Ovis aries: one gene and its partner. The protein of the gene in region 1 binds, or shares a complex with, the protein of each later gene. Links are inferred from orthologs where the notes say so. Each region holds a gene or a part of one and is shown in the gene's direction. Other genes may lie near its edges.

What was found.
Region 2: TTF2 (region 1) and A-kinase anchor protein 17A share a complex: the UniProt entries of both Homo sapiens proteins name them as parts of the spliceosome. The link is inferred for Ovis aries from reciprocal best matches to the Homo sapiens genes TTF2 and AKAP17A.

Annotation. Positions count from the first base shown.
Region 1 is NC_056054.1:94,475,840-94,487,469, forward strand, and holds part of TTF2 (transcription termination factor 2), read left to right. Parts: intron 1-6,092; coding exon 6,093-6,159; intron 6,160-7,459; coding exon 7,460-8,461; intron 8,462-8,786; coding exon 8,787-8,901; intron 8,902-9,452; coding exon 9,453-9,635; intron 9,636-11,341; coding exon 11,342-11,469; intron 11,470-11,630. UniProt on the Homo sapiens protein: DsDNA-dependent ATPase which acts as a transcription termination factor by coupling ATP hydrolysis with removal of RNA polymerase II from the DNA template. May contribute to mitotic transcription repression. May also be involved in pre-mRNA splicing.
Region 2 is NC_082741.1:864,211-876,467, forward strand, and holds the start of A-kinase anchor protein 17A, read left to right. Parts: upstream 1-5,763; 5' UTR 5,764-6,626; coding exon 6,627-6,760; intron 6,761-7,388; coding exon 7,389-8,166; intron 8,167-8,741; coding exon 8,742-8,890; intron 8,891-11,714; coding exon 11,715-11,955; intron 11,956-12,257. UniProt on the Homo sapiens protein: Splice factor regulating alternative splice site selection for certain mRNA precursors. Mediates regulation of pre-mRNA splicing in a PKA-dependent manner.

The DNA of each region.
Region 1 (11,630 bases):
AGATGTTGGACATGGTCATCAAGCTCCTGAGTTCTGTTCTCTCCTCTCTTCCCTCTCTCTCTCTGTCTTTTAGCTTTTATTCTCAAGGATCAAAATAGATGGTAATATTCTTCATCTATAGATTGGTAAAACAGGTTTTAGTTCTTTAAATAACTGGTGGTACTGGGATGTTTAAAATACTTTTATGTTTTTACTTTTTTTTTAAGAGGTTGTTTTTTTTTTTTTTTTTTGCATCACTGGGTCTTCATTGCTGTGCGCAGGCTTTCTCCATTGTGGAGAGCAGGGCCTATTCTTCGTTGCAGTATTCAGGCTTCTCACTGCAGTGACTTCTCACGTTGTTGAGCAAAGGCTCTAGGCATGCGGGCTTCAGTAGTTGTAGCAAATAGGCTCAGTAGTTGTGGCTCACCTACTTGGTTGCTCCAAGGCATGTGGAATTTTCCCAGACCAGGGATCGAACCCGTGACCCCTGCATTGGTAGGCAGATTCCTATCTACTGTACCACCAGAGAGGTCCCCCAAATGCTTCATTTTTAATAGCATATGAATCTGTGCACATCTAGGACACCCCTTTTGTGGTCGGTTGATTACTGGGTAAAATTGGCGTGCAGATTACCTAACCCAATGATGATGAGCTAGGCTGATGACAGAGAGGCACTGACATGAGCCAGACACATGCAGAAGGACCTCGGGCTCCAGCAGCCCATAAAGAAGCCCACTCAGCAAAGCCAGTGCTAGATGTGTGGAGTATCATGCACTGTGCTGTACCGCAGGAGTAATCCTTGTATGGGAACATTATTATGTGTGTGTGCTCTCTCACTCAGTTGTGTCTGACTGTTTGCAGCCCCAGGGACTGTAGCCGCCCCCCCACTCTTCTGTCCGTGGGATTTTCCAGGCAAGAATACTGGAGTGGGTTGCTCTTTCCTTCTCCGGGGGATTTTCCTGACCCAGGGACTGAATCAGCATCTCCTGCATCTCCTGCCTTGGCAGGCCCACTGGGACACCTGGGAAGCCCATGGAGAGGATATTAGCCTTTTATAATGTGTACAGCAATTCCTTTCCCCAGGTTGTCCTTTGTCTTGTAATTTTGCCTATGGTATTTTTACTATATGGACATTTAATACCTCTATGTAGTCAAATTACTAAATCCTTTATCTCTGAGCTGCAGGATTTTGTCATTCCCTTTTTACGTTAGGATTGCCAAAATATTCATCTCCGTTTTTTTGTTCCTAGAACATTTACATTTTTATTCTATTCATTTTTGTTCCATCTTGAATTTTTGTGTAAAAGGTGAGGTAGAAATCCAGCTTTATATTTTTCCATTGCTGCATGTGGAAGGGAACCCGTATTTCTAAGGGCCCTAAGACACGATTGGGCTAAGAGTTAGACACAGGAAGGTTGGTGAGCAGTCTGATCTGCATGCTCTGCTCTGCTAAGTCACTTCAGTCGTGTCCAACTCTGTGCAACCCCACAGACGGCAGCCCACCAGGCTGCCCTGTCCCTGGGATTCTTCAGGCAAGAACACTGGAGTGGGTTGCCATTTCCTTCTCCAATGCATGAAAGTGAAAAGTGAAAGTGAAGTCGCTCAGTCGTGTCCAACTCTTCGCGACCCCATGGACCGCAGCCTACCAGGCTCCTCTGTCCATGGGATTTTCCAGGCAAGAGTATTGGAGTGGGGTGCCATCGCCTTCTCCGCTGATCTGCATGTTAGAGTGCTAAATTGTATGTGTTCGAGTGCCAGATGTTTCTCTGACTGTAAAACCAATGGTAAGAGATTAAGGCTGATGAAGGTTACTGAGAAAGTGGAGGAATTGAGACTTGAACTTGGTCTTGAATGACCCCTAGCTGGTTTCTTCATTTTTCTTGTTCATAACCTATGCCTTGGAAAATAATTAACGAATATACTGTAGAAATTACACTCTTTTTCATAGTGGACTCAGTGTTTGCTTTCTCTATGATAATATATTCCCACCGCTTTCTCTATTGATTTATAATTTAATAAACATGACAAACTTTTATCCTAAAAACAGAGAAGCTCTTCTAGATTGTTTTTAATAAAAATGTAAGCAGAAATATTTTTTGCAGTGTGCCTAGCACATAGCTGATGCTCATTGTGTGTTGTTTACTTCCCTCTTTCTCCAAATCTTGCCCTTCTCCTGAAAGTCTATGAAGTTTGGGCTTTAAAATACATGCTGTTTATAAAATATTCTTTCAGTTAAGGTTTCAAGTACTTGATACATTTTCAGCAGCAAGAATTTGTTCTTGACCTGTTTTTATAAGTCGTAGTACTCCCTAATAGTAGCCTTTGAGTTTTTTGCAATCAAGGCATTTCAGGAATTTTCAGAACTATATGCTCAGAACTAAATTTTCTTATTGCAGTAAGAAAAAATTAAAGAGACCAACACAGGTTTTTTTTAATTGTGAACTTGAATGAGAAAATTATGAGTTTGTGTGATAGGAGCTGGTCCTTTCTTCTTTTTTATTTTTTAAAAATAATTTTATTTATTTTTTTGGGTTGCATTGGACCCTTTGTTGTCTGCGTGGGCTTTCTCTAGTTGTGGAGAGTGGGGGCTACTCTCTCGAGGCTGTGTGTGGGCTGCTTTTGTTGTGGAGCACAGAATCTAGGTGCACAGATGGCAGTGGTTGCAGGGTGCAGGCTCAGTAGTTGTGGCTTGTGGGCCCTAGAGCATGCAGGCTCAGTGGTTGTGGTGCACGGGCCTAATTGCTCTGTGCCATGTGGAACCTTCCCAGACCAGGGATCAAACCCACGTCCCGGCATTGGCAGGTGGATTCTTATCTGTGCCACTAGGAAAGTCCGTGTCTTCTTTTTCACTCTTATGGAACGCTTGTCCATTTGGAGCTTGTTATCTTTGCTTTTACACCCAAGTGAAGTAATGGCATCGAGGGGTTGTGATCTGCTCAGGATTCATTTTGAGTTAGGACTCAGACTGTTGTGATTTGTGTCGTATTTGTTATTTCGTTGCTAAGTTGTATTTGACTCTGCGACCATGGATTGTAGCCCCCCAGGCTCCTCTGTCCCTGGGATTTCTCAGGCAAGAATACTGAGATGCCATTTCCTTCTCCAGGGAATCTTCCCAACACAGGGATCGAACCCACGTCTCCTGCATTGGCAGTCGGATTCTTTGCCGCTGAGCCAACAATGAAGCCCTTGTGTTGTGTATCACAGTACTAATTTAAGAAGCTAGAAAAAGGACAAGAAATTAAACAGAAAGAAAACGAAAGCAGGAGTTAATGCAGATAAAATTGAACTTAATGAGGTAGAAAGGAAAAAAAAAGTGAGCTAATAAATAAAATCTAGAAGCTAACTGATGAAGAAAAACAGTGAAGGCTCTAATATACAGTGTGAAATATAGAGAGTTGCCCAATGGATATATTAAAACACATGTTAAATGGCATATGCAAAAGGTTATTCATTGTGATATTGCTATTAATAGTAAAGGATTGGAAATAACCAGAGGGGTCTGGTTAAATAAATAATGGAACATCCTTATAGTGGAAAACTGCTGCTGTGTAAAAAACTGCAGTTGTAGAAAATATGTACATATAAGGAAGTCCTTTATGTATATGTTTTTCTCCAAGACATGTTGTTAAGTTTTTTTAAAAACGGCAAGCACGATATTTAGTAGTATGTATACTATGTTCCCTGGGCTTCCCTGGTAGCTCAACTGGTAAAGAATCCGCCTGCAATGCAGGAGACTCTGGTTTGATTCCTGGGTCTGGAAGAGCCCCTGGAGAAGGGATAAGCTACCCACTCAAGTATTCTTGGGCTTCCCTGGTGGCTCAAACAGTTAAGAATCCACTTCAATGAGGGAGACCTGGGTTTGATCCCTGGGTTGGGAAGATCCTCTGGAGGAGGGCATGGCAACCCACTCCAATATTCTTGCCTGGAGAATCCCCATGGACAGAGGAGCCTGGCAGGCTATAGCCCATGGGGTCGCAAAGAGTCGGACACAACTGGGCGACTAAGCACAGCACAGCATACTATGCTACCCACTTGAGTAAATAAGGAAGAAATAAATAAAATACATTGACCTAAATATTCATTAAAGCTATCTCTGGAAAGGCAAACCAAAAACTAAGAGAAATGGTTACGTGGGAGGGATGTGAACTGAACAGATGGAGCGGAGGTGCTTTTCGCTGTCGTTTTATACTTTTTGATTGAGCATTTTACCTATTTAAACAATTAAATGGAATACATATGTCAAAGGCTCTTATTTAACTGATTAAATGTTTTTGAGGAGTTATTTGGGGTAAGGAAGAATTCAGTTGGTTCTGTTAATTTCAACAATACTTAACTATTATGTACAAACAGCGAGGCTTAAGAATAAAGAGAGAGTTATCGCCTTCTAGTTGCTGACAGGCAGATATAAGCATAATATAACCATATACAACAAAAATACAGAAGCAGTACAGTGCATGAACAGGGCAGAGAGCATGCAAAGGCGGTATGTCTTGAACTGGGTGTGGCAGGACCTGTAGGATTGACAGCTGGTGATGGGGTAATGGTGGGCAAATAGGGGTAAGGAGGATATTCTTTGGATGGAGAGTGGTACACGTGCAAAGTCCAGTGGGATGGAGAGGGTGTGGCTTAGTTTGAGCTCGGGACAGCACAGCCATTTTTGCATAGCTGGAATATAGGTAGTGTTTGTGTGAGCAGCGATTGCCTTGCCCTGGGATGTAGGCCTGTAGTCAGTCTTTTTTTTTTCTTAATGAAAGATTGGAAACATATACAAAAGTAGGCAGGATAGAATTACTGCATGTGAGTTTCAACAGTCACACTCATGGCGAATCTTGTTGCATCTATATCCTTGCACCCTACCTACCAGCTCCTCCATGTTTGGATACAAATCCCACATAATGTCATTTCTTCTGTAAATATTTCAGTGCATAGCTGTAAAAAAATATGGACTGTTTTTTTTAACCAATTGGAGTACAGATTTCCAGAAGATTCATAAATACTATAAATAGTTTATTTTTGGTAGTTTTTGCTCGTTTGCTTAAGTCAGGATTTGAATAAGGTCTACAGGTTGCAGGTAATTGATTTTCTCTTTACGTCTCTTAAATAGGTCCCCCCAGTCTTTTTCTTCTCCCTTGTGATTTACTTATTGAAGGAATCAGGTTGTTTGTTCTATAGCACTTCCCACTGTGAAGAGTTTGCAGATTGCATCCCCTGGTCTAGTTTTACGTGTTCATCTGTTTGCATTTCCTGTAAACTGTTAATTGGACCCAGGGGTTTGACCAGATTCAGGTTCGTTTTTGTCTTAGTTTTCTTTTCTTGGCCACGCCACTATAAGTTTTGTGGGGTCTTAGTTCCCAGACCAGGGATGGAGCCCAGGCCCCCTGCAGAGGAGGTGCAGTCTTAGCCATTGGATAACTGGGGAAATCTTTGATTGGCTTATTTTTTTGGTTTTACTTTATAGGAAGTATTGTGGCTTCTCATTAGGGACACATAATGTCTGGTTATCTCCTTTTTTCTGATTTTAGCAGCCCTTGTGGATCAGTGTTCCCATGTCAGTCATTCTGTAGAGTTAAAAGAATTAATCTATGACTACTCTCTGGTTACTATGACATCTGTACTCTTTCACTTCTCAGGTCTTGTAAATATCCTATGAGGTAAAGAATGTTTATTTTTTTTATTTTTTTAAAATTTATTTATTTATTTTTTTTTTAGTTTTTTATTTTTTAAATTTTAATATCTTTAATTCTTACATGCGTTCCCAAACATGAACCCCCCCCCCCACCTCCCTCCCCATAACATCTCTCTGGGTCATCCCCATGCACCAGCCCCAAGCATGCTGCATCCTGCGTCAGACATAGACTGGCGATTCATTTCTTACATGATAGTATACATGTTAGAATGTCATTCTCCCAAATCATCCCACCCTCTCCCTCTCCCTCTGAGTCCAAATTTTTAAATTAAAATTTTTAAATGGAGTACATGTTAAGAGTAATTGGTTTCAAGTGACCTTTCAAAGCTGTTATCAAATAAAAGGGTTTCTTGAATTAAAAACAAGTTCATCTTTTATTTTAATGGATTTTCACAAACTCGGTTATTTGTGTTTTATACTTTATCAGGTTGCTCTTCCGATGTGTTAAAAGTAAAGCAGAGGGGAAACAGTGGTGTGGAAATATCCCATGGCAGGTAGGAATTATTCGTCTGTTTTCAGATCTGACTGTGTAAAGATGTTTAACCTGTGGGATCATCTGAAAAGACCCTAAAGTCCATTATAAACTGATTGGTCTTCATTGAACTTTCTCCGAAAGAGTTCTTTTCTTTCAGCAAGGTAGACCCTGTTGGGACTCTTAATTCAAAGGACTATTTGGATCTTTTTTTTTTTTTTTAAATTTTTAATATTATATTGGAGTATGGCCAGTTAACAAACAATGTTGTGATAGTTTCAGGTGAACAGTGAAGGAGCTCAGTCATACATAAATATCTATCCATTCTATAGTTAGTAATAGTAGTGTTAGTCACTCGGTTTTGTCCGATTCTTTTTGACCCCATGAACTATGTATAGCCTGCCAGGCTCCTCTGTCCACGGAATTTTCCAGGCAAAAATACTGGAGTGGATAGTCATTCCCTTCTCCAGGGAATCTTCCCCACCCAGGAGTCGAACCCAGGTCTCCTGCCTTACAGGCAGATTCTTTACCATCTGAACCACCAGGGAAGCCCATTCTATAGTTAGCATTCGCCTATTTAGGGAAAAAATTTAAATTTACTTGACTAACCTCAGGAATTTTTTTTTTAATATTTATTTATTTGGCTACTCTTATTTTATCTGTAGCATGCAGGATCTTTAGTTGTGACATGTGGATCTAGTTCGCTGACCAGGGATCAAACCCAGACCCCCTGCATTAGCCCCCAGACCGCCAGGGAAGTCCCAGCATGTTTTTATAGACTGTTATCTACTTGATGTTTATATAAACTGGGTGTAATTCATAAGCTTCTGGAATGTGAGAACTAGGAGAGACCCTGCAGATGTCTACTACATGAGGAACTAGACTGAGGGAGGTCTTGAGACTTGTAGAGGGATAGCTTGGACTTAAGGTTCTAGATTTGAAACCATCCTAAAGCCAAAATCAGAGCTGTTTAGGTTTGGGGAAAAGTTCATCTTGAGAGAGTCATTTTCATGAAAAATACACATTGTGGCTATTGCTATTATTAAAACAGTTTGACCTGCACACTGCTTTTCCTTGGGACCTGTAAAAGCAGTGATCACGGACAGAGAAAGAACCAAGCATTGAAAGTACTGTTAGGAAATGAATACTGTGTGAGTTTGGCAGTCCGTTCTAGAGCAGGAAATGATCCCAGGAACGTTTAGGAAAACTGGACTGCTTTTACTGCTTTTACTTTTCCCATTTCCTCGGAAGAAAGGCCTTCTAGGTGTGAAGGTTGCATTCATATTTTATATTAAGATTAGATTATTTCCTTTGTCTTTTAGGATCCTAATTCTAAAGAACATTCTGGAACCAGTAAGTCTCAGCTTGCCTCTGAGCCATCTCATTATCCTTCCAGCCAGCTGAGAAATCCGTTCAAGGTACTTGATAAGAATCAAGAACCATCCGTCTGGAAACAGTTCATCAAAGGTGAAGATGAGGAAAAGACAGCTGATAAGAAGCAAAGAGAAAAGGGAGATCCATGCCTGGATCAAAAGAAGGAACAGAAGCCGGAATCTAAGTGCTGGGCGGAGAAAGAGCTCTCATCTGGCCTGGGAGCAAAGAAAAAACAATCTGCAGTTCAAGATAGACAGCAAAGAGAGAAGACAGTGTTTCAGTGCGAAGCAAAGGAGATAGAAGGGATGCACAAAAGAAACCTTTTAGAGATGAAAGCCAAACAGGTCTGTGGAAATGGGCTCAGAGAACCATCTGCATTTCAGGTGAAGTCAGATAGTGAGAGTCATTCTGTCCAAAAAGAATCAGAACCTCCGACAGTAAAGGAAACTAAGCCTTTGCCTCGAATTGTTCACAGTCAGCACTCAATAAGCCAGCCCCTGAAAGGGGAGCACCTCACCAAGGAGCACCCTAAGAGCTGGGAGGCTAGAGAAACAAAGACAGGGAATGACCCAAGCACACAGACCCTCCAAAAGAGTCTGCTCCAGGGCCATTTTCAGGCTCAGTTGGGGACCCGGGACACGCCTGCTCCAGAGGAACCAGCTGCTCAGCCTGCGCCACTGGCCACAGGGCGCCCGGCAGGAGAGAGGCGAGAGGCTGACACAGGCAGTGGTGGCAGTGAGGACGATGACGTTGTTTTTGTTTCGTTTAAGCCGGGGAGCCCCTTACTCTTTGACTTGCCTCCAGACACACAGGAGAAGAAGGACCTTAAGCTCCCTGGTCAGAGCGTGCAAAGAAAAGTTTCTTCTGCCTCGAGTGTTTCCAAGAAGGGAGAACCTTCAGACCTGACAGCCCAACGTGTGTTCCTTACAACACAACTGAGACACAAGAAGGTAACTGCCACCTGTGTTTGTTTATGAGGTCGGAGCATTGCCTGCTGTGGGCAGGTCAGGTGCGCCACGACCGCATATTAATGTGTGAAATATATTAATGTAAGGAAGGTCTCACAGGTGGATGTTTAGTTTCTGCCTTTTGCTATGGTTGTATGTTCAGGATTGGTAAATCAGCTGGGTTTAGAAAGAAGAAAGGTTCTGGTTTTCACACACATAGCTAAAAGACTAGTGCTACAGTTTTAGCTTTCTAGGCTGTTTTAATCTGAAAGTACCTCTGACCTCTCGAGAGGAGCGAGTGACCCATTTTATAGGATCTGTTTTACAGAACACACTGGCATCGGTGAACATCCAGGCTCTTCCAGACAAGGGTCAGAAGTTGTTCAAGCAAATTCAGGAGCTGGAGGAAGCGCTCAGTGCCCTGGCCCTCTCCCCAGAGCAAGGTAAAAGGGGTTCTGCCCCTGAACCCGGGGTTTGCGTGAACTTCAGGAGACATTCGAGAGCCATTTCGATAAAGAAGAGGTTGGGGGACTTCCTTGGCTGTCCAGTGGTTAGGACTTCACCTTCCAATGCAGGGGGTGCAGGTTCTGTCCCTGATTGGGGAGCTGAGATCCCAGATGCCATGTGGCCCCACACCCCCCAAAAAACCCAAAACATGAAAAGAGCAATGTAACAAATTCAATAAATACTTAAATTTTTTTTTTAATCTGAGGAATAGTTCCTGACATTAAAAGAATAGGTTGATGCATTGACCTGCCCATCTTGTTGTCTGTTTCAGAGCTTCCTTTTAAGTTGGGTCTGTGATTGATAAAAATTTCCTCCTATTTCCTGTGGACTCAAGTCTTTTCCCATTGTTTAAGAAGCGGTTTAAATTCTTCAGTCTCTAGGAAGCCTTCCCCTGCTCATGGTGATCCCACCCTCTTGGCCTCACCTCGCTCATAGAGTTCCTTCACTTTTCTGAAGTGTAATCTGTTCTTCCCTGTGTTTTGAGCAGACACTAAGGAGAAGCTTAACACTCAAGAACCTCAGCAGAGTAACTTCACCAAAGAGACCACTGACCCTCCCCGCTGGGTGCCTCCCAAACCCCTGCAGGGTCAGGATCTCTGGCCTCTGGGTTCTCAAGGACTGAAGGCTGCCCACCAGGAAGCTGCTGGAGGGTCTGGTCAGTGCTGTGGAGGTGAGATCCGAGGGCCTGGCCCTGGGGGAATAGCTACACCTACAAGTTCAGTGCTGCCTCGTAGGTGCCTTTGTGTCCATGAGAAGGGAGAAGCCATTCTGTCTTGTGTAATAAAGCTGGGGGTGCTCAGCTGAGTTTTTACAGTGTAATTTAGACCTTCTTGAGAGCAGAGACTGTGTCTGCCCTGTTCATTGACCTTGTTCATGGCCCTTAATCAACCAGCTTAGTGGCCAGCATGTGGGAGTCATCTGCTAAATGTTTGTGAGTGAAAACTCAAACTCACATCATGAGGAGGAAGGCAAACCAGTGGATATGTCTGTAGTCCTGTGTGTGCGTGTGCTGAGGCAGGGCAGGGGAGTAAGCGACTGTGACCAATAGACCCACAGAGAGCAGCACCACCCTATTTAAATGAGCGTTTCCATCCTGAACTCTACAGACAGCAATGAATTCTGAAGTAGCTGCAGGAGAAGGATCCCCAGAACAGCCTCAACTGTGTAATATGATCATGTGGTTTACTGACCAGGACACAGGAACTCGGCTGGGCTGACAGCGATGAGAAAAGCAAAAGCCGGTTGTCTGCTGAGAACTGCTCAGGTTGTGGAAAGGAAAAGGAGAGAAAAGAGAAAACCGGAGGGAGGGGAGAAAAGTTGGAAAGCAGTGGCCAGAAGAGGGTAAGGGATAGACAGGGTGCCATGTGACCCAAGGATCCCTCTAAAAGGGCGCAGAGAAAATGTGCTTATTTAGGGAAAATAGATAAGCAGCAAGAATCTACTGTATAGCACCGGGATGTCTTATAACCACCTATCATGGAAAAGAACATAGATAAAAAAATACATATGACTCAGTCACTCTGCTGTACACTCAAAACTAACACAGTGTTGTGAATTAACTACTTCCTCTGAAACAAAACAGAAAACGTATTTAGTCCAGTGGCACAGCCTAGTTAGGCTCCAGACGGAGGAACACTGCTGCATGACAGCGTCGTGCAGTCATCACCATGGTGATGGAGTTGCCTAGAGAAATTAAGGTGGATTATTAAGGTAAGAAGTTATGTAGTATGTTTAGGAAAGAATCCCATTAAAATAGATTTTCATTTAAAAACATTTTAATGTTTAAGTGGATAATTAATTTTTATTCGTTTAGAAACCTCTTATTTGGGTACTTCATCCCTAAATTTGCAACCAGCTAAGGTGCTTGTATTTATTACCTAACCTGAGTAGAAGTTCTCTGTGTATCAATAGAACGAGTGGTCTCCAACACTGAAGTATTCCCGGTGTAGTGCAGGCATCTTGGGATGTGCATATTTGGGGCTCTCTCTGTGCCTAAAGTTTGACAGCTTCCTGTAGCTCGGTCTCTTCTATTGCTGGCTTTTCTTCTTGGAATCCAGCCCCAGGGGTCCTTTTTTCCAAAAATTTTGATGGTATTGTTTTCTCTGCCACCTCTTCAAAGCTGAAAAAAAATTAAAAATATTATAGATTATCTTATATTTTAGTTATACTTTCTATTACTTTGTCCTTTATTAGAGCACTTATTAATGGGAACTTTAAAAGACGGACATACAGAGAATGAGGCTAAAGGAGCCAGAGCGGCTAGGAGAATCTGGAGGCAAGAATTTTTAGCCCATACAGATCCATCATCTGGCAAATAATGAATTGCCTTTTTTCAGCTCTTGTCAGGACATACTCACAATCTCGATTTGTCTGCAGGCACTGTGAGCCAGAATGGCCTTCATGCAGTGTGGAAGATCACAAGTGAAGCCATTGATGAGCTGCATCGCTCTCTTGAGTCTTGTCCTGAGGAGACCGCCATGGCAGAGGATCCAGCTGGGCTGAAGGTGAGCTGGGAAGGCCCGCAGGGCAGAGTATCCTGGATAATGCCCTAGCGCCCACGAGGAGGGGGCCCAACCATTGGGAAAGTGCCTAGCAGGGTGCCATTCTTCATTGTTTTTCTTTAAATAGTCCTTTTTGGTTTGTTTTTTAATTTACTATTTTAAAA
Region 2 (12,257 bases), on another chromosome or scaffold:
TTGAAAGTTCTGGACTAAATAAAGATCTAACAAGAGGCTGAGGTGCAGAGGACGGACGGGTTCCATGAACTGGGTAACGTTCATGGGGAATGACCAGGCTGATGCCTTTGCTAAGGACGGATAATTAACGTTGGCTTCAAAACCAGACCAAAGGATATCTAAGGGAGCTCCCTCCAGTTCCTTAAGGAGGTGCATGCGCCACCTGGTGGAAAGGAGTGGTTCTGACTAAAGTCTCGAGATTTCCTGGTGACTCAGTGGTAGAGTCCACTTGCAATGCAGGAGATGTGGGTTCAGTCCCTGGCTGGGGAAGGTCCCCTGGAGAAGGAAATGGCAACCCACTCCAGTACTATTGCCTGGAAAATCCCATGGGCAGAGGAGCCTGGTAGGCTACAGTCCATGGGGTCGCAAAGAGTCGGACATGGCTGAGCGACCTTCCGTCAGTGGTAAAGAGTCCACCTGCCATGCAGGAGACCCGGGTTTGATCCCTGGGTCGGGAACATCCCCTGGAGGAGGGCATGGCAACCCGCCCCAGTACTGTCGTCTGGAGAATCCCACGGACAGAGGAGCCTGGGTGGGGGAGCTACTGTCCACGAGGTCACAAAGAGTTGGACGTGACTTAGGGAGTGAAACAACAAGTCTTGAGAGGCATGGATCTGTGAGGTGGATGGACAGAGGCGTGGCCCAATGGGCAGATGGAGAGGTGGGTGCGTGGTGCACATACGGACGCCCAGATGGATGGAGGCATGGACAGATGAGTGGACGCAGATGCGCAGGTGGATGGATGGATAGTCAGACCAGTGGACAGCTGGATGCATGAGTGAGTGATTGGGTGGACAGATGGATGGGTGGAAAAATGGATAGATGGGTGGATGGATGGATGGATGGGGGAGTGGATGATGTATGCATGGATGGATGATGGATGGTGAGATGGATGGGTGGAGAGATGGACAGATGGGTGGATGGATGAATAGATAATGGAATATATATTTATGGATGGATGGATGATGGATGGTGAGATGGATAGATGGATGGATGGATGGATAGATGGATGCATGATGGATGATGGATGGGTAAATGGATGGATGAATAGATGGATGGATGATGTATGTATGGATGGATGATGTATGGATGGATGGATGGATGGACTGCTGGATGAGTGGGTGGATGAGTCCCCGGATGTTTGGACAGATGGGTAGATGGATGGATCGATGAACAGATGGATACCTAGGTAGACGGACGTCGGAGGGGGGCTACACGTGGAAAGAGCACAGTCAGCTCTGACAGTCATCCTCAGGTCGGTCACCAGTGGTCTGACCAGCCCCATCTTGGTTGTTTTAGGTACAATCAATCTTCAGTTGCAAGGTCAGTTTGTTCCCATTCCTTGAGGCCAGTTCTCAGATCTGGGACAGCCTATGTCATGCCTACAGCCTGGCCATGACGTTGTTAACTTCTCCCCCTGGTAGGCGGTGTCAGTATCTACAAGACAGCTCACAGGAGGTGGCTCAGAACCTCTATAGCTCTTGAATGCGTGCTCCGTTGTTAAATCGTGTCCGACTCTTTGCGACCCCCATGGACCGTAGCGCACCAGGCTCCTCTGTCCGTGGGATTTTTCCAGGCCAGAATACTGCAGTGGGTTGCCTTTTCTGACTTCACTACAGCCCTTCGGGAGGAACTGAAGGTACTTGACTGTGCTTAATGAGTCAACTGTCATAATTTAGTCTCGCTTGACTGATTTTGTGTGGTTCTGCCATGTTCTTACTTCTCTGATTAAACTTCTGCTTCAGCTAAAGCTTATTTTATTTTTCTACAGACAGAAGGCAGGCGGAGGGCGTGGGAGACAAGGACCATAGGTTGTTGCTCCGTTTCAAAGGGACACTGCAGACTGTCAGCAAACCACAGAAAGCCTGCCGACAGACCCGGAGCAGATCCTTCCTGGGAGCACTCGGAAGGAACCGAAATGCACCCACGCCTTGGCTGGTTTCAGACTTTCTGGTCTCCAGAACAGTGAGGGTATACATTTCTGTTCTTTTTGGGGTCACAGCTCACAGCAGCCCTCGGAAACGAACAGAGCAACAACATTTAAGCACAGAACATACATCATTGTCTGCATGGGGTAGAGAGGCACGCTTTACTGTGGTCGGTTGTTGTTCGGTTGCCAAATCATGCCCAACTCTCTGCGACCCCGTGAACTGCAGCACGCCAGGCTTCCCTGCCCTTCACCATCTCCTGAAGCCTGCTCAAACTCATGTCCATGGAGTCGGTGATGCCATCCAACCATCGCATCCTCTGTTGCCCCATTCTCTTCCAATCTTTCCCAGCATCAGGGTCTTTTCCAATGATTTGGCTCTTCACATCAGGTGTCCAGAGTATTGGAGCTTCAGCTTCATTCCTCCCAATGAATATTCAGGGTTGATTTCCTTTAAGATGGATTGGTTTGATCTCCTTGCTGTCCAAGGGACTCTCAAGATAGTTTGAAAGCATCAATTCTTCAGTGCTCAACCTTCTTTATGGTTCAACTCTCACATCCATACGTGACTATAGCTTTGAATACAGACCTTTGTCGGTAAAGTGATGTCTTTGCTTTTTAATATGCTGTGTAGGTTTGTCATAGCTTTTCTTCCAAGGTCAGGCCCACCTAGAATACTCTTCTCATTTCATTAGACTGACAGCATCCATACCTTCACCACTCAGAAGCCACATGCCAATTCCTGCCAAACGGCTTCTTTTTTCCCACCAGGCAATTGGCTTCCTCAGAGGCAACCAGGCTGTGTTTCCGCCGTTTTAAATGGTTTGGATGCCAACACCTGATTAGGGCAGGCCCACACGGAATAACTTCCCATTTCATTAGCTGGACTCTACAGATGATGGACTTTAACTTCAATTGTAGAATTCCTTCAGCTTTGCAATCTCACCCTGGAAGTGACCGTGCATCCTGCTCCCATTCCCCATCATGCTCAATGAGAGTGAAATTTACATACCTGGTATTTCTCACTCCTCCAGAGGATTAAGGTCCCTGGGGACTTTGCTTCTGTGTTTCTGGGGAACATTCCGTGGAGGGATATTTTGCTGAAAAATGTAAAAGGACTTTCTTTGAATATTTCCCAGATTCTTGCAATTGTCTCTGAGTCTTGCTCGTCCCCAAGAAAAGTGAGTATCTCATGTCTTAATTCGCTTTGCTTGGTACTTGGCAGTTTCCAAATTTAACAGGTCCCCAGGGATACATTTTTGCCTGAAAAATCTCACGAACAGAGGAGCCTGGTGGGGGCTACAGTCCAAAGGGCCACAAACAGCTGGACACGACTGAGCAGTGGGTGCCCATTTCCTTCTCCAGGGGATCTTTCTGACCCAGGAATTGAACCCAGGTCTCCTGCATTGCAGGCAGATTCTTTACCAACTGAGTTATGAGGGAAGCCATTTTATTTATACCATAAAATGACCTAAATGTATGGAGAAGGCAGTGGCACCCCACTCCAGTACTCTTTTGCCTGGAAAATCCCATGGACGGAGGAACCTGATGGGCTGCAATCCATTGGGTTGCTAAGAGTCGGACACGACTGAGCGACTTCACTTTCACTTTTCAGTTTCATGCACTGGAGAAGGAAATGGCAACCCACGCCACTGTTCTTGCCTGGAGAATCCCAGGGACGGGGGAGCCTGGTGGGCTGCCGTCTCTGGGGTCACACAGAGTCGGACACGAGTGAAGCGACTCAGCAGCAGTATCAGCAGCAGACCTAACTGTATTATTATGCATAAGATAAATATTACAGGTAAAGTTATACAAAAGGTCATTATTTTTGAAATCGATTATATATAACGTGGGTGGCATAGTGGTAAAGAACCCACCTTCCAATGCAGGGGACACAAGACACACAGGTTTCACCCCTGGGTCAACAGGATCTCCTAGCGAAGAGAATGGCAACCCACTGCAGTACTCTCGCCTGAAGAATCCCACGGACAGAAGAGCTTGGCAGGCTACAGTCTATGGGCTCGCAAAGAGTCAGACACAACTCAGCAACTGAGAACACAGATATATAACACAGAAAGCACATTATATATTTATATTTACATTTTATATATTAAGCAATTTAAAATAATAAAATGCACAGATGCATATCAAAAATATAAAATAATAATTATGCAATTTCTGTTACTTTCCGACATCCTTAAAAGTAAGCATGGAACATCAATGTTAAAATGTAAAAAGTTTCAATAGTAAAATACTAGATGTTTATACTAACACTATATTACTTAAGTGAGTGTAGTTACATTACGGGAGGTGAAAGTCGCTCCGTTGTGTCTGACTCTTTGCGATGCCTATAGCCCACGGGATTCTCCAGGCCAGAATACTGGAGTGGGTATTCATGCCCTTCTCCAGGGGATCTTCCCAACCCAGGGATTGAACCCAGGTGTCTCGCATTGCAGCCGGACTCCTTATCAATGGATCCACCAGGGAAGCCCGTTGCATTATATGTATGCTACATTATAGCATGATATAACAATGTCATACAAGCAATCCATACTCATACGGAATAAAATCAGTAATTAATAAATATACACTTGTCATAGTTCATAACGATATCTCATGTGCGACGCATGACTGTAACAGCAGTGTGCCCCACACAGCCGGCCTGAGTCCCGAGTCCGGTGTCTTCACCCTGGGGCCCCAAGGTGAGGCCTCTGCCTGGACCTGAAAACAGGTGGCAGGGTTGGGGGCGGGGCGGGGCGGGGCGGGGTGGGGGAAGGGCGCGGCGGGCTCGCGCACGCGCACCGCGAAGCCCGGGCCGGCCGGCCCCACCCACCGCCGCCCCGGAAGTCCCGCCTCTTGGGGGGCGGGGCCATGGCCAGGAGGAGAAACCCGGGCCCGCCGCGCGGCCTGCTTCCGCGGGCCCGAGCGGCGGAAGCGGAAATGCGTCACAGGGGCGGGCGGCGGCGGCGGCCGAGGCGGCGGCAGCGGGTCGCGTCGGGGGCGCCTCCGGCGGACGGTGGCGGCGCCGGGCGGGGAGGCCGGGCCTGCCGGCGTCGTCGGGGGCCCGCGGGAGCGCTGGGGCCAGGGCGGCGGCGGCCTGGTACGTGGACGGGGCCCCGCCCGCCGGGCGCCGGGGACCCCGGGGCGTCGGGGGGCCGGGGAGGGCGGCCTCGCGGGGCGGGCGGCCGGGGCGCGGCTCTCCTGGGCCTGCGGGCTTCGGGGGTCGAGAGCCTTCGAGGGGCCTGGGGGCGGGGGGTCTGGGGGTGACGGAGAACCGGCGGCCGGGGGCTGCGGGGGTCTCTTGGGCCTGCGGACTTGGGAGCGGGGGGCCTGGGGACTTGGGGGCGCGGCTTTGGGGGTCGAAAGCCTTTGAGGGCCTGAGGGTGACGGAGTGCCGCGGGCTGGGGTCTGCAGCGGTCTCTCGGGGCGACCGGGGCACGGGGTCTCGTGGGACTGCTGACTTGGGGGCAGGGGCTTCGGGGGTCGAGAGCCTTTGAGGGGCTTGGGGATGACCGGGGGCTGGGGGATGCGGGGGTCTCCCGGGACGGCCGGGGCACGGGTGTCCTGGACCTGCAGACTTGGGAGCAGGGGTCTGGGGGACTTGGGGGTGTGGGCTTTGGGGGTCGAAAGCCTTTGAGGGGCTTGGGGTGACGGACAGCTGGGGGCTGCGGGGGTCTCCCCGGGGTGCGGAGAGTGGGGGGCGTCTTCTGGGAGAGGATTTGGGAGAGGGGACAACGGCGATTGAGCAGAGGAGGGGAGGTCTCCAGGGAGCTGCGGGGTTGGGGCGGGGGGTGGACAGGGTCCCTGCAGGCGAATCGGGGTCCACCAGGGTAAGAGGTAAGCAGGCTGTACTGGGACGGGGAGTGAAGTTAGGGGTTACTGGAGGTTGGAGGGGGTAACCGGGGGCCACAGAGGCGGCTGGGGAGAGAGAAGGCGGGAGTTGGGCCAGTGGGGTGAGCATTTGGAGGGGTGGAGGCGATGGGGATCGTGAGGGGCTGCCAGGGGTGTGTTGACAGGGGTGCAGCGAAGGGGCTGGGGGTCATCCCCAGGGTGCAGGGGCAGCTGGGCGACCAGGGAATATGGGAATCCCCAGGGTTCCTAGTAGGCAGTGGGCTTCCGGAGTCTCTGACTCAAGTTCTCTCTGAGGTCTGGAGGTTTTCTGCGGGTGGAGGGGGGCTGTCGCCACTCTCAGCCCAGGCTGAGCCCCCTCCCTGGTGCCCCAGACCTGGGCCAGGTGGCTCTTCCCTCCAGCTGGGACCCCTCCACCCCCGTCCCTGCAGCTTCTCCTGGGTCTGGGTGTGTGTGTGTGCTGAGCTGTTCAGTCGTGGCTCTCTGTGACCCTGTGGACTATAGCCCACCAGGCTCCTCTGTCCGTGGCTTTCTCCAGGCAAGAATACTGGAGTGGGTTGCCATGCCCTCCTCCAGGGGATCTTCCCGCCCCAGGGATTGAACCCAGGCCTGGTCAGAAGCTCTCAGAGCCATCTGGTGCGCGGGCACACAGCCCAAGGCCCCCTCCATTACTGTTTGCTGTCCGTGGGTCAGGTCTGGCCCTGCTTTGCGGAAGTAGGCACCTGTCTGACCGGTAGGGAGAAGCTGGTTGAGGGGGAGGAGAGCACAGTCAGCTCCCCGTCCGCGGCTTCCCAGAGGCCCCGCGGCTTTGATGGTTTTATCTGGACACAGAGAAAATGCTTCTGCCTGCGGTAGAGATACTGAAGTCAACGGTCTTCAACCATTCTCTCAGCCTGAAAGTTCCTTCCTGTTTCCGCGGGCTTCCTCCGGCACAGACCTTCCCAGGTGCTTGTGTGGGTCGTCCCTTCCCCAGTGAGACGTCTGCAGCCTCCATGGAGGTGGCCTGTCCCCCACATCCCGAGGGCAGGGACCCTGCCCATCTGGGCTCCTGCCAGCCCAGCCCTGGTGGAGATGCCTCTGAGTATTGGGGGCAGCTCAGTGCCCATGGAGGCTTGGGGCAAGCAAGTGTTCCTAAAAGTTTTGAAAACCCAAATTTTTTTCCCCTGCATTTGTGTAATCTGATTAAAAGGGCCCACATGTCAGGGGCTGGGGTTTCCCTGGTGGTTCAGACAGTAAAGCATCTGCCTGCAATGCAGGACACCCAGGTTTGATCCCTGGGTGGGAAAGACCCCCCCTCCTGGAGAAGGGAAGGGCAACCCACTCCAGTATTCTTGCCTGGAGAATTTCAGGAGCAGGGGAGCCTGGTCGGCTACCGTCCGCGGGGTCACAGAGAGTCTGACACGACTGAGCGACTAACCCTGAGGGGCCGAGGGGCCTTCCCTGACGTAGCGACTAGTGTGTCGGGCACGCGGAGGGCAGACGGGCCTCCGTGCCCCGGGCCGCGTGCTGGCCAGCCTGGGGGCGGGGCAGCGGGCCGGCCGTGAACGCGCGGCGTGCGCGTCTTGTGTTTCAGGCCCAAGGTCCCGGCTATGGCTGCGGCCACCATCGTGCACGACACGTCTGAGGCGGTGGAGCTGTGCCCGCTGCACGGCCTGTACCTGAAGCCCATCACGAAGATGACCATCAGCGTGGCGCTGCCGCAGCTGAAGCAGCCGGGCAAGTCCATCTCCAACTGGGAGGTGATGGAGCGGCTCAAGGGCATGGTGCAGCACCACCAGTTCTCCACGCTGCGCATCTCCAAGAGCACCATGGACTTCATCCGCTTCGAGGGCGAGGTGGAGAACAAGAGCCTCGTCAAGTCCTTCCTGGCCTGCCTGGACGGCAAGACCATCAAGCTGAGCGGCTTCTCCGACATCCTCAAGGTGCGCGCCGCGGAGTTCAAGGTCGACTTCCCCACGCGCCACGACTGGGACTCCTTCTTCCGCGACGCCAAGGACATGAACGAGACGCTGCCGGGCGAGCGGCCGGACACCATCCACCTGGAGGGGCTGCCCTGCAAGTGGTTCTCGCTGAAGGAGTCGGGCTCGGAGAAGCCGAGCGAGGAGGTGCTGGTGCGCGTGTTCGAGCGCTTCGGCGAGATCCGCAACGTGGACATCCCCATGCTGGACCCCTACCGCGAGGAGATGACGGGCCGCAACTTCCACACCTTCAGCTTCGGCGGCCACCTCAACTTCGAGGCCTACGTGCAGTACCGCGAGTACGCCGGCTTCATCCAGGCCATGAGCGCGCTGCGCGGCATGAAGCTCATGTTCAAGGGCGAGGACGGCAAGGCTGTGGCCTGCAACATCAAGGTGCGGGGGGTGGGGGGGAGGCGGGGCGGCGGGCTGCGCCCCGAAGGGCCTCCGACATGGGGAGGGCTGCCTGGGCCCCCCACGCGGTGAGCGCACTCTGTGTCTCAGGAAACGTGGGGAGAAGTGGAACACGCTCGCAGCCGCCCTTGAAATGAGGGCGCTGTCCATCATCGCCGCGGACTCTGGCTCGTGCTGGCTCCCCACGTCAGGCTGGCGGAGGAGCCGGGGCCCTCGGGGCGCGAGCTGTGCCCGGGCGCTGGGTGGTGAAGGCAGCTGGCTGCGGAGGGCGGGGGGCGCCCACCGCAGGAGGGGGAAGGAGTCAAGCTCTTGCATGCAGGGCTGGCCTCCGGAGGCCCTGGTGTTTCCGGCAGAAGGGGCCGTCCTGGAAGGGGTGGGGTCCCTGAGCGCTGACTTCGAGCCCTGCCCCGCAGTCCCGAGGTCCCCCCGGTCAAGGGCGTTGGGGGTCCCCGCTCTCTGCGGTGAGTCTGAGGCAGGCCGTCCGGTGAGCACGGGCTTGTCTGCGTGCTCAGGACGGTGCGTGCACCTCCTAACCCTGCCCTGTCCTGCCTCCGAAGGTCTCTTTCGATTCCACCAAACACCTGAGCGATGCCTCCATCAAGAAGCGGCAGCTCGAGAGACAGAAGCTTCAGGAGCTGGAGCAGCAGCGGGAGGAGCAGAAACGGCGGGAGAAGGAGGCAGAGGAGCGCCAGAGAGCTGAGGAGAGGTGCGTGCTGCGGGGCCGGGCTCTGCGGGCCTGGGTGCATGCGTCGGTCCCCTTGGAGACGCAGCGGGACTGCGGGGCTGCGGCCTACCCCCAGGGCACCGCCGGCTTCCCACCCGGCGTTTCGCTGAGCCTTCCTTCTCGCTGAGCCTCCCGGGGCACCGTGCAGCACCCTGCTGACGCGGGCACGGAAGTTTTGTCCAGCTTACAGGTGTTTTGCGTTCAGGCTGAAGCTGCCTTTAAGTGAAGTAGGGAAGTGAGGGTATTGTTGGCCTTTCCCAGCAAGAGCCGTTCAGGAGCCCTGTGAAGTGACACTGAGTCAGGCGTCTTGGCTCAGGACCTCTGTTTCTTGCTTTGACGTTCTGGCGCTAGAGGAAGAGAGCCCGCCTGCCTGCCAGTTCAGTAAGAGAGAGTGCGGGTTCAGTCCCGGGTTGGGGAGATCGCCTGGAGAAGGGAAAGGCGCCCACTGTGGTGTGCTGGCCTGGAGAATCCCGTGGACCGGGGAGCCTGGCGGGCCGCTTCCGTGGTGCCGCAGAGTGGGACGCGACTGAAGGGACTGCGCGTGGCATGCTGTGAGCCCTGCAGGCAAGCTGGCCAGTGTGCCGAGCTGGCTTCTGGGAAGGAGCGGCAGTTCCTGGTGCTCCACCGTGACCCGTGTGCTCGGGCGCTTGTCCCGCACTTGTCCGTGTGTGCGGCGGGCAGGGTTTCTTGTGTGTTTTGCAGAGTGCTGAGTCTCAGGCGTGTGTGCTCCGGCATTCTCTCCTCACCAGCCTGTGTGTGGGTCTGGGCTGACCTGGCTTGTGCGCCGCTCCGGCCTTGGGGCTCCTGTGTGGTTCCCGTTTGGTTCCGATGCTCACTAACACAGATTCGGGCCTTTCTCGGGGGTCAGCGCTTCCCCTGTCTGCTCCGGAACCCAGTGCCAGAGTGGCAGGTGCTGGAGATGGTGCTGGCCTGTGCGCAGGCAGCTGGCGGGGGTGTGGACACGGGTAGGGGGTCGGGAGCCCCGGAGTGAGGCTGTGGCTGCAGAGAGGACAGGTGCCCAGAGAGGGCGGGGTGTCCTGGGTGCATGGCAGGCCTCAGGTGGCGGCCACAAGGGGGGAGCAGTTTGGATCTCACACTGGACGAGGCCGCGGGATCGACGTGCCCACCACAGGCTGAACCAGGGAGCGCTGGTGGCATGCGGACCACGGGTCCTGGTCCCAGGCAGGCCCCGTCCTCTCTCTTCCGCGATCGACCTTGTGCGCAGTCCCCGAGCTGGGTGTCACAGGGGTTACCCCATGGCCTTTCCAGGGTCTCGGGGCAGGCGCTTTTCTCCACCTGCACATTAATGCGGGGAAAGCCGCCCTGAGGGTGGCCTTTGAGCTCAGGCGGCAAGGGGTGTCGTGTCGTGGTGGGGACACTCAAAGTCGGCGGGGCGGTACCTCTGACGGGGCTGAGGCGGCTGGCAGGGCTGGCCTGGCATGAAACATGGGCCCGGGGGTGCCCGGGAGGCCCTCGGGTGTGCAGGGCTGTGTCCAAGCCCAGTTGGCCTCACTGTTAGCCTGCAGGCCGGCCCGGGAGCCTGGGCGTCTGTCCTTTGTCAGGGGCGAGCGAGTTGGTCCTTTCCTGCTAATGAGGTACAGCGTGGCCTGCAGCAGTCCTGTTCCTGGCTATGGGCCCTTAGCTGGACAGGTGAGGGCTCTGGGCACTCAGGGCCGCTGACCAGCAGTCTGAGCGGCAGCCCCTCACCGACCCCTGTTGCGGGAGACCGTCTGGTGTGTGGCCTCCCGGACGCCAGCATCCTCGCGAGCTGCCTCGCCTCCCTGCGTGACCCGGCCTCCCCCCACGCCTGGAGCGTGGGTCCTCCGGCCTCCTCGTCCAGCGCTGCTTCTCTGCGGGCCTGGCGCCCTGGGAGTGATGCCGGCTCCTCTGCAGAGTGTCCTTCCTGGCCTTGGCGTCCCCGTGCCACGTGCTGTCCAGGGTGGCCTTGCCTCTCTGCTGTGCCCGCCCTGCCCCTGGCCTGAAGGTTAAGTCTGAGGGGTGCGAGTGTTCCGTGAGGACACGCTCATTGGTCTTCCCGCCCCTGGAGGCCCGGATCCCTCCCAGCTGTGCTGGGGTCCTGGCTTCTGGGTGAGGAAAGGGTGCTGTTGGGTCTGAGCTGGCCGGCGCTCTGCGGGTGCTTACGGAACTGCCACTGTCCCCAGGTGACCTCACGGGCTTTCCCCGGGGTGTGTGCTGTGGGGCCCCTGTGCCGAGGGCCGCCTCCCTCCCCAGAGCAAGCCGGATTGGCTTTGTGTCACTGAACATATGCCTTTTCTGCAAGTCCCCATGAAAGGCCATGCAGTGTGTTCTCTTGGGGGCTTCCAGTAGCTGGGTGCTTCTAGAACCTTCCTGCCACCGGGTGCATTCCTGCTCCCCTCCAGCTCCGGGGCTGGGGGCTCGGGATGGGAAAGCCCAGGGCAGGGGTCTCTCGTGCAGTGGGAGCCGGGCCTGTCCAGCGCTCCGGCGGTGCCCGTGTGGTGCCCGTGGTGGAGGGCCTCCTCCCTGTGCCGCTGCGGCCCGTCCTGGTTCGTCTGCTGCGGTCCCTGCAGGAGCAGCTGCATCTGGTGAAAACTCCGCTTCCCACGCGTCCGCCTTGTTTGTTCCGGTGTCTGGGCTGGGGTCGAGTTTAGCCAGGCTCTCCCTGGAAACATGGGGGAAGCCTCGCCCTGTGCGCCCCTCGCTCCTGGGGCCCTCGGCCGCGGCTGAGATGTCTGTGCGGACAGAGCGCTAAGGAGCCAAGTGCCGCGATCGCCGGCCCGGGCCCTGCGGCCCTCACGGAGCCGCCGTGTCCCGCCCGCCTGCGCAGGAAGCAGAGGGAGCTGGAGGAGCAGGAGCGCGAGCGGAGGCGCGAGGAGAAGCTGCGGAGGCGCGAGCAGAAGCAGCGGGACCGCGAGCTGCGGCGCAGCCAGAAGAAGCTGGAGAAGATGCAGGCGGAGGAGCAGCGCAAGCTGCAGGAGAGGATCCGGCTGGAGGAGCGCAAGCTGCTGCTGGCGCAGCGCAACCTGCAGTCCATCAGGCTGGTGGCCGAGCTGCTGAGCCGCGCCAAGGTACCGCCCCCCAGGGGGACGCCCTGCCCTCGGAGGCCCCGCCCACACCGGGCTGCCCGCCTATAGGGGTGCCCCGCCCTCGGGAAGCCCCGCCCACAGGGGCTGCCAATCTATAGGGACGCCCCGCCCTCGGGAGGCTCCGCCCTCGGGAGGCTCCGCCCACGGGTGACGCCCCCACAGGGACTGCCAGTCTCTAGGGATGCCCCACTTACATGCTCAGGAATGCCTGGTACAGAGGGCGGGTCAGCCCTTGGGATGCCGTACCCTCGGGGAGGCCCTGCCAGCCTATAGAGATGCCCTAC